2 linked regions of the Solanum lycopersicum genome follow. The main gene of each other region encodes a partner of the protein of the gene in region 2 in a complex. Links are inferred from orthologs where the notes say so. Each region holds a gene or a part of one and is shown on either strand. Other genes may lie near its edges.

The links.
Region 1: general transcription factor IIH subunit 2 (region 2) and general transcription and DNA repair factor IIH subunit TFB4 share a complex: the UniProt entries of both Arabidopsis thaliana proteins name them as parts of the 7-subunit TFIIH core complex. The link is inferred for Solanum lycopersicum from reciprocal best matches to the Arabidopsis thaliana genes GTF2H2 and AT1G18340.

What each region holds. Positions count from the first base shown.
Region 1 is NC_090805.1:46,431,575-46,435,952, forward strand, and holds the start of general transcription and DNA repair factor IIH subunit TFB4, read right to left. Parts: upstream 2,858-4,378; 5' UTR 2,774-2,857; coding exon 2,743-2,773; intron 2,640-2,742; coding exon 2,542-2,639; intron 2,433-2,541; coding exon 2,189-2,432; intron 1,835-2,188; coding exon 1,788-1,834; intron 1,058-1,787; coding exon 1,020-1,057; intron 945-1,019; coding exon 899-944; intron 738-898; coding exon 684-737; intron 580-683; coding exon 511-579; intron 1-510. Other genes in the region: uncharacterized protein, read left to right, coding at 3,678-3,713, 3,809-3,883. UniProt on the Arabidopsis thaliana protein: Component of the general transcription and DNA repair factor IIH (TFIIH) core complex, which is involved in general and transcription-coupled nucleotide excision repair (NER) of damaged DNA and, when complexed to CAK, in RNA transcription by RNA polymerase II.
Region 2 is NC_090803.1:54,338,834-54,342,656, reverse strand, and holds part of general transcription factor IIH subunit 2, read left to right. Parts: intron 1-794; 5' UTR 795-798; coding exon 799-1,059; intron 1,060-2,016; coding exon 2,017-2,478; intron 2,479-2,692; coding exon 2,693-3,065; intron 3,066-3,823. UniProt on the Arabidopsis thaliana protein: Component of the general transcription and DNA repair factor IIH (TFIIH) core complex, which is involved in general and transcription-coupled nucleotide excision repair (NER) of damaged DNA and, when complexed to CAK, in RNA transcription by RNA polymerase II.

The sequences.
Region 1 (4,378 bases), on a different chromosome or scaffold from region 2:
CAATCACATCTTCATTCATGATATTATTATCTCCTACTCACAGAGACAAAGCATGAGAAGTTCACTATAGAGGGCAAAAGGAGAAGCCATCGGACTGCGGCAGTCCAGAAGACATTTGGAGAAGATTTTCTAAGTCCACAAAGAGTACATTGGTACTTTCAGTCATAGCCTTTTGGTTGATCACTGTATCTCCAACACCAACAATAGTAGTACATATATTAAATATTTAATACCAGATTTAAAATAGGTCAAACTTTTGGAAGGTCTTTTTAGTGTAAGCTCCTTGGAAACAAAAATTGCATACACTAAACAAATCAAAGTATAGTGACTTGTTCAACATGCTTACACATCAGATAGAAACTAATGTCTGAAGGCAGCACTGGAGACAACCGTAGATGTTCAATGTTGGATCCATGCTATTGACAAGTTAAAATGCTAAGCTAGAGACAACTTAGTATTTTTTTTGACAAAGAGAGACAACTTAGTATTAATAATTTTAATAACACTTACAGAGAGATATTGAAACAGTCCATCTGATACTTGGGGTTTCAAATATACACCACCAGTTATGTAAGAAGCCTGTTCCCAGATAGATATGCACCATAAGATCAGTGAGCCAGAAAATAACTCATGCTGAGAAGGAATAGATTTTCAACCAGAACTTTCAGGTATAGAAATGCTACCTGCTGAAGAAAAGCAGAATGCTGAGATCCTATTACACATGAATCAATGGGTACCTGCAATAAAAACGCATTGCATTTCTTAGAGTAGGATCACAATATGGAAATCTAAGTCCCGATCCCTAATTTTGAAAATTCTACATTTATGAAGACATGTGACAACTTTCTAATTAATCAAGAAGGAAAATTGAAGGAAAGAATTGTTAAATCCTATATACCATTGAACGTTGAGCTGAGAAAATTGAATTCATGACTGCAACATATCTGCAAAAAAAGAACATGTTTCAGCAGAGAACCTAACAATGAGAAGATTGTAGAAGCTGTGAAGATCCAACATACTGTCCCGGCCCATCTGGAGATCCATGCAGACACAATATCTGCCATAATTTCAAGCACATTTTCTTAGCATCAATATTCATATCCAACATAACAAAAACGGATCAAATTTTAAAGTATAAAACAAGAGAAGACAGATTTTTTTTTCCTAACAACTACCTTACTGATAAATGATCAAATTAACAAACACAAAAATGATGTAGTAATATCTGATAATATCACATTAAGAAATTGCCAATGAAATGGGACCAGAAATGGCATTTCATCGGGAATGCTAGTTTTTTCTTTTCTTGATAAGGATGGGAATGGTAGTTTCACTATACCATTGGATAAAAATTGCAGTACAAATAAATCAGGGCACATTGAAGTTTAATTGATGGTTTTGTTTAAGGTACATAAAACATAGAATAACTTAAAGTATTACCTCACCAAACCCCCTTAAATGCACCTTTGGGGTTAAGAAACACTATCAGAATTAACATGAAACGTAAAAGGCCAAAGAAATCACTGGAAAAAACTCGAAGTTCTTTTTCCCCTTGGACGAGAGATATTTCCATGGATAAGGTATTTGGCATAATAACATGTTATGCTTGTAAATGCTAAAGCTTACGATCCCAAATGGATCGACCAGGAAAATTTCACATAAGCATAAAATCTATAAATGTAACTGGATAAACAAAATAATACAAGTAGAAATTCTCATAACAAATTCCATCAATTCAAAATCCCAGAAGAACCCATTTTCAGTTTCTTGTAAAATAAGGAACTTACCCGAGGTTGTGGATGAAGAGGCCCTGAACGAAATACCCGTTGAATGTCTAACAGTGCACACAGGTCAAGAGAAACACTTCCTCTAAACAAACGTGAATGCAAAGCTATGCACAATAACAAATAAAAACCAGTGGCAGATATAGCTAATAGCTACGGGTTCAACCAAACTCAGTATTTTCAAATACGGAACATGAATACACAAGTAAGAAAAACTAAAATCTAACCAAAAAGATTAGATTTCGTATCTAGAATTTCAACAGTCAATAAATTCAGTGCTAAGAGCTTCAAAGAATAAACCTAGCAAGTCCAAATTTTGGTTCTGCATCTCAATAAAAATCATTAAAATTTCACTTCAATAAGAATATAAAAAAAACCAACAGACATGAACTGATTGAGGATACAGCACAAAGCCATAGAAAGTGCACCAGAAAGCAGCGAAAACCCAACTCCATCAACAGAGTCTTCTTGACTCAAGGACTCATCTTTATCCACAAAATCCTCCAGTTTCTCCAACAAACACTCAGCTCTTTGCATTGACGAGGTAGACGAATCGAATACATAATCACATGAATTGTACCCAGTTGCAATCACAACTACTTGGTTCATCTGATTCAGTAAAAGTATCGAATTCAAGAAAGCAAGAACCTGCATTTCCCCCATACATTCCAGCATCAAAATTCAACAAATGGAGAACACAAAACTATTCATTTTTTTTTAAAAAAAAAAACAAATTTTGGGTTTTAGGGGTCTTTACGTGTGATATGAATTTAGGGAATGTGAAGGCAGTGTTCTTCATTGAGCTCCAGAAGTAGGGATTTGTATCAACCAGAACCATCAATAGGCTCACATCGTCTGAAAGTATTCAAAAGAGATTAATTTTAACACATTTTCCTCTTATTCCACTAACATGTACTTATTGCATACTTCAGCTACACAGACAGAGAAGGAGACAGACCTGCGTAAAGCTTTGATGAAACCGGTGTCATGGCCGCCGGTGGAATAAACCTTAATTCACCGGTCAGGTGTAGAGAGCGTCGCCGATGCAATATACTGTCGGGCTTTGCCTTTTTACTTATATAATGCTTATTTTTATTGAATCATAACAGAAAAAGACTTCGATAATTAATTGTTAATAAAAAAAAACATCGTTATCATAACAAAAAGACAGTTTGGCCGAGTGGTCTAAGGCGCCAGATTTAGGCTCTGGTCCGAAAGGGCGTGGGTTCAAATCCCACAGCTGTCAATTTTTTTTACATATTATTTTAATTTTCCCTAAACCCAAACTTTTTACTTTATTATTTCTTATTTTAATTTTCCCCTAAAATCCAAATTATTATTTTTATTTTTTTAAAAAAAAATCCCTTTATTTTTAATTCTCTATTTTAATTTTCCCTACCTAGGAGTACTTATTATTTTTAGGAAAATTAAATACACAACTTATTTTATCACATTATTTAAAACTTTTACTATTTGAAAAAATTATAACTAGTCGAATAAATCACTTTGCGTGATATATGAGGATGTGAGCAATGTATCAGATAATCGAGATGCAACATATCTGAAACATAGATACGATGTATCGAAATGCTTTGGAATGTATTCGGATTCCACTATACTTAGGGAATTTTAGTAATTTGAATATAGTAAGAATGAAATATAATTAGCTATTGACATTATATAATTTGCGTAAAAAATATAATTTTTTTTTATTTTCCTCTAACCCAAATTAGAAGTTTCTTCGTTCCTTATTTTTTAAAAAATATAACTTTGTATAAAAACTATTTATGTTGATAACAAAGGGGTGCTAGGTTAGCAATCTTTAACATTGTTGAGACATAAACCCCAAGACTTTACACAAACACTCTGTTCAATCAAGAAAAACACAATACAATGGGTTCGAAACCTTGCTTCATTGATAAACCAGTAGTAAGTACAAACTTTTTTTTTTTCGATTTCTTGTGCCAGATTATAGTGTATAAATTGTTTGATGCAAAAAAGATTGTATTTTTGGTTTTGATTAGGTTCCTGGTGATGTTGTTTTAGATCTTTCCAGCATGACTAACCAAACGATTAAACTGGGTGGCGGCCTCCAACAGGTTTTTCCTCTCAGAGCTTTGATTTCTGTCTCATGGGTTTATAGATTTTTGTTTGTGGCTCTTGTATATACAAATATTAGCTTAAAAAAAGGTTCTTTTTATGTTTTATACACTGTTCTTGCTTTTTTTTTCTTTCTGGTAAGTGAGTTGGAATTTTGTTGTTCAGAGCACCAAGAAAGTTCCTTCTCACATTCAGGGAATACATTAATTCTCTCACTGATTTTGGATTATTACAATTTACTTGTTTGATACACCAAGAACTCAACATTTGTAGGCACATAGTTCTTGCTATTTTGAAAAAAAAATTTGTTCTTTTTCTCTCATTCTATATGTATCAAAAAGAGACTTAAAGCTAATGTATTCAAAGCTAGCTTTTCTTGCACTTTACCTGTATATGGTTATTTTCCTCTGTGGATGATAGTACTCTATTCAGCATTATACTTACTGTGGCTCTAAGTATAAGGAGGCAATGCATCAAAAGTTTATAATTTCTAA
Region 2 (3,823 bases):
GCTTCCTCTCTTCATTTTTCCAAATCGTATTTCTACATTAACACCTAGCTTCCTAGCATTAATTTTTACTTGTGTCACTTAGATTAATACAACTACTTGAATCTTTAATCATCTACATCAGTTAAAATTATCTAGCTTAAGCACTTAAATCCCACCTAGTTTGAATTTGTAGGGAACCTAGTTGTGAACCTTGTATGATGCCTATTACTTTTCTTTTGAGGTGATTTGAACTCTTAATGATCTCAGGTTGTGGAGACTAGTAAATTGAATTATTTGCAATTAGTTGTAGTAATAGGTTCCCTAATGCGCAAGAGGGGTGTTGGAATGAAGTGGATTGAGAACCCTAAGGTCGTTGCTTCAAATCCCAGTAGAGACAAAAAATAAGGTGATTTCATCCCATTTGTGGACGTTACCTAGTACCTCTTGGTAAGAGGTACATGTATCCCATGGAATTAATTGGCCCGGACACCACAATTATATTAAAAAAATTAGGGTGTTCTAACACACCTTAACCCAGTAGGTGATAACTCTTCTCTTTAGCTCATTAAAAGAGTTGTCACATGTTGAAGCCCGCTTTTGCGAGAAAATGGGGCGTGACACACTTAGGGGGAAAAGTGAAGCATAGAAATAGCAAAGGACTAGGTACATATTGGAAAATAGTGCATGTAGTAAGGATGTGTAATGCAAGGAACTCAGAACACCTACATACAGTATCTTGTACTAATACTGAGTTTGTACAATTAGTTTCTCAAGTATCTGGTTATCTTATTAAGAGTTGGTATTATATCTAACAGGGAAATGAACACGGAAGAAAAAAGATTTAATCAAGAAGAGGAGGATGAGGAAGAAAATGGGAGAGGTCGAGAAGCATGGGAAAGAACTTATGCAGATGAAAGATCATGGGAGTCTTTACAAGAGGATGAATCAGGACTCCTTCGTCCAATTGACAACAAAACTCTATCCCATGCTCAGTATCGACGACGTCTCCGCACTGCAACTGCTGCACGAATTCAGAAGGGTTTGATTCGGTACCTCTACATTATCATTGATTTCTCCAGGGTATGTAAAATCCTGTATGATTGCAAAATAACTGCAGTATTGTAATTGGTTACTGACATTTAAAGGTTAATTTTTTTTTTTTTTTGCAAAATATGAAACAATTATTTAAGCATCTATAGTTATCTGTTTGTAAATGAGTTATCTCCGGAAGAAGTTAATCAGGTCCAATTTCCCAGACAATCTGCTGATCTTCTTCTGATGCTAGCAAATTGTTTCTTATGAAGGAACACAACAGGGTCCTTTTTAAAGAACCAGCAGCTCTTTGTTTTATGGATTTCTATTTGCATCTAGGGCTGAAGATTTAGTGATTGCAACTGGTTGATTATGCTATAAGATATTGATAAAACTAAGCAATTGGGTCGTCTTCGATCAGTTTAATGAATATTCAAGTGTATACCTACTTTCTGTTTTGATGTCACCATATTTCTTTAAACCACGTTTTGAAATTCTAAAATTGTGAATTGAGTTTATAAGACAATTATTGCATTTTGAAAATGTCCCTTAATTGGGTTGTGCTTATCACTGCATTGGACGTTTTCTTTTATCATTGACAAGGTGCTTTAACAGACAATCTTAAACATTTGCATGTAAGCCTCTGGCTGATAGTTCTCCTTTCAAGATGTCAGCATCCTTTTCCGTGACATTTTCCTAGTTTTCTTTTTTTCGCATTGCTCGAAAGTTTTTGTGAGCATTGGTTGCATCTACTTGATACTTTTCCTACATGCTTATATTCCGCAACACCCACGCCAACTTGGAAAGCTAGAAGAAAAATCAAAATGCTTTGAATACTAGAAATCTCGACATAATAGTAGAGACTTTTAGCGTTCATTTCAATTAAGTCTGGATGACTTTAAAAATGACTTTTTGAAAGAGAGAGAGAGACAGTAATGTCTCATAATATCTTGGACTTTTACATCTTTTGAGTTTGTAATTGCTCACCTGAATTTTGAATTTTAGGCAGCTGCAGAAATGGATTATAAACCAAGCCGAATGGTTGTAGTTGCTAGACAAGTGGAGGCTTATATAAGAGAATTTTTTGACCAGAATCCCCTGAGTCAAATTGGCTTGGTGATCTTGAAAGATGGAGTAGCTCATTGCTTAACAGATCTTGGTGGCAGTCCCGAGGCTCATATCAAGGCATTGATGGGTAAATTGGGGACCTCTGGTGATGCATCCCTTCAGAATGGCCTAGATCTTGTGTGTGATCTCCTAAATCAAATCCCATCGTATGGTCATCGTGAAGCCCTTATCTTGTATTCAGCTCTTAGCACATGTGATCCGGGGGATATACTGGAAACCATCCAAAAATGCAAAGCGTCCAAGATAAGGTGCTCAGTAATTGGTCTCTCTGCAGAACTCTACATATGCAAGCATCTCTGCCAAGAGACTGGTGGAATGTATTTTGTTGCATTGGATGAGGTAAGGAATTGAGCTCTGAAGTAGTGGTAATACCAGAACTTGTGAAACAAAAACTAATAGAATAAGGAAATCTTTTGCTGGAAATTTAGGATAAATTTGGTTCTAATAGCCTACTATGTAAAATGTCTCATTGAATGATATGATTAATAATATGTGGCAAGCATAATATTGTTAAAACGTTTTATGATTTGATTCGTTGTTATTGCTCTGTCAGCCTCATTTAAAAGAGTTGGTATTGGAGCATGCCCCACCTCCTCCAGCTATTGCAGAGTTCGCTGTTGCAAATTTGATTAAGATGGGGTTCCCCCAAAGAACAGCAGAGGGTGTCATTTCAATTTGTTCATGTCATAAAGAGGCTAAAGTTGGTGGTGGATACACTTGTCCGAGATGCAAAGCGCGCATATGTGAGCTGCCTACTGAGTGTTGCATTTGCGGACTGACCCTTGTATCTTCTCCACATTTGGCAAGGTCATATCACCATCTCTTCCCAATAAGGCCATTTGATGACGTTTCACCCTCAGCTCTGAAAGATTTTCACAAGTTACCAAAGAATTGCTTTGGTTGCCAACTGAGTCTTCTAAATCCTGGTAAGAGCACTCTTCTTATTTACAAAATCGAAACTATCTTGAGGTAAAATATTTATGCCGAAAAACAAGGAAATCTGTCTTATTTTTTTACTCTTCAAGATTATTCTATAAATAACCACTGAAGTGAATCTGCGATCCAATGAAGCACTTGGTCACACAATATATTTGTAAAAACGACTTGCAATTTTTTGGTTCAGAATTGAAACTTCCAGTGGTAAAAAAGATTCATGCCAAAATGATGGAATATGTCTCTCTGTTTGCTGTCAAGACTGCATCGTAAGTAACCTTTAGAGTGAATCTGGGACCCAAAGAAGCACCTGAGCTGGTATTCCTTATCAAAATAAATAAATAAAAATGGAACACCTGAGATTTGCATTTTCTTTTGAAACTGGTAACATTGTATTCCTCAGCATCCTTAATGCTGGCCATCAGTTTTGCAGATATTATCATTATCTATGTATATGCTAGGATGTTCGATAATTTGATAATTTTCAAGTAGAGTAGTTTATCAGATTAACCGTGGGTACATAACCCTGACCTGAAGCATCTGCTGTTGCTAAGGATGTCAATGAAGTTCCTTTCTTTCTTTTTTTTTTTTGAATTGGTAAAAGTTGTGTTCATCAGCATTCAGGGCTATGCTGGCCTCCTCCAAAATTTACAAAAGAGTCATGGATAGTTACAAGAAATAATATAAAATCCACTAATTGGATTTCTTCTATATTCTGTTCTTTACGCCAAAAATCTAAAGTAGTATGAAG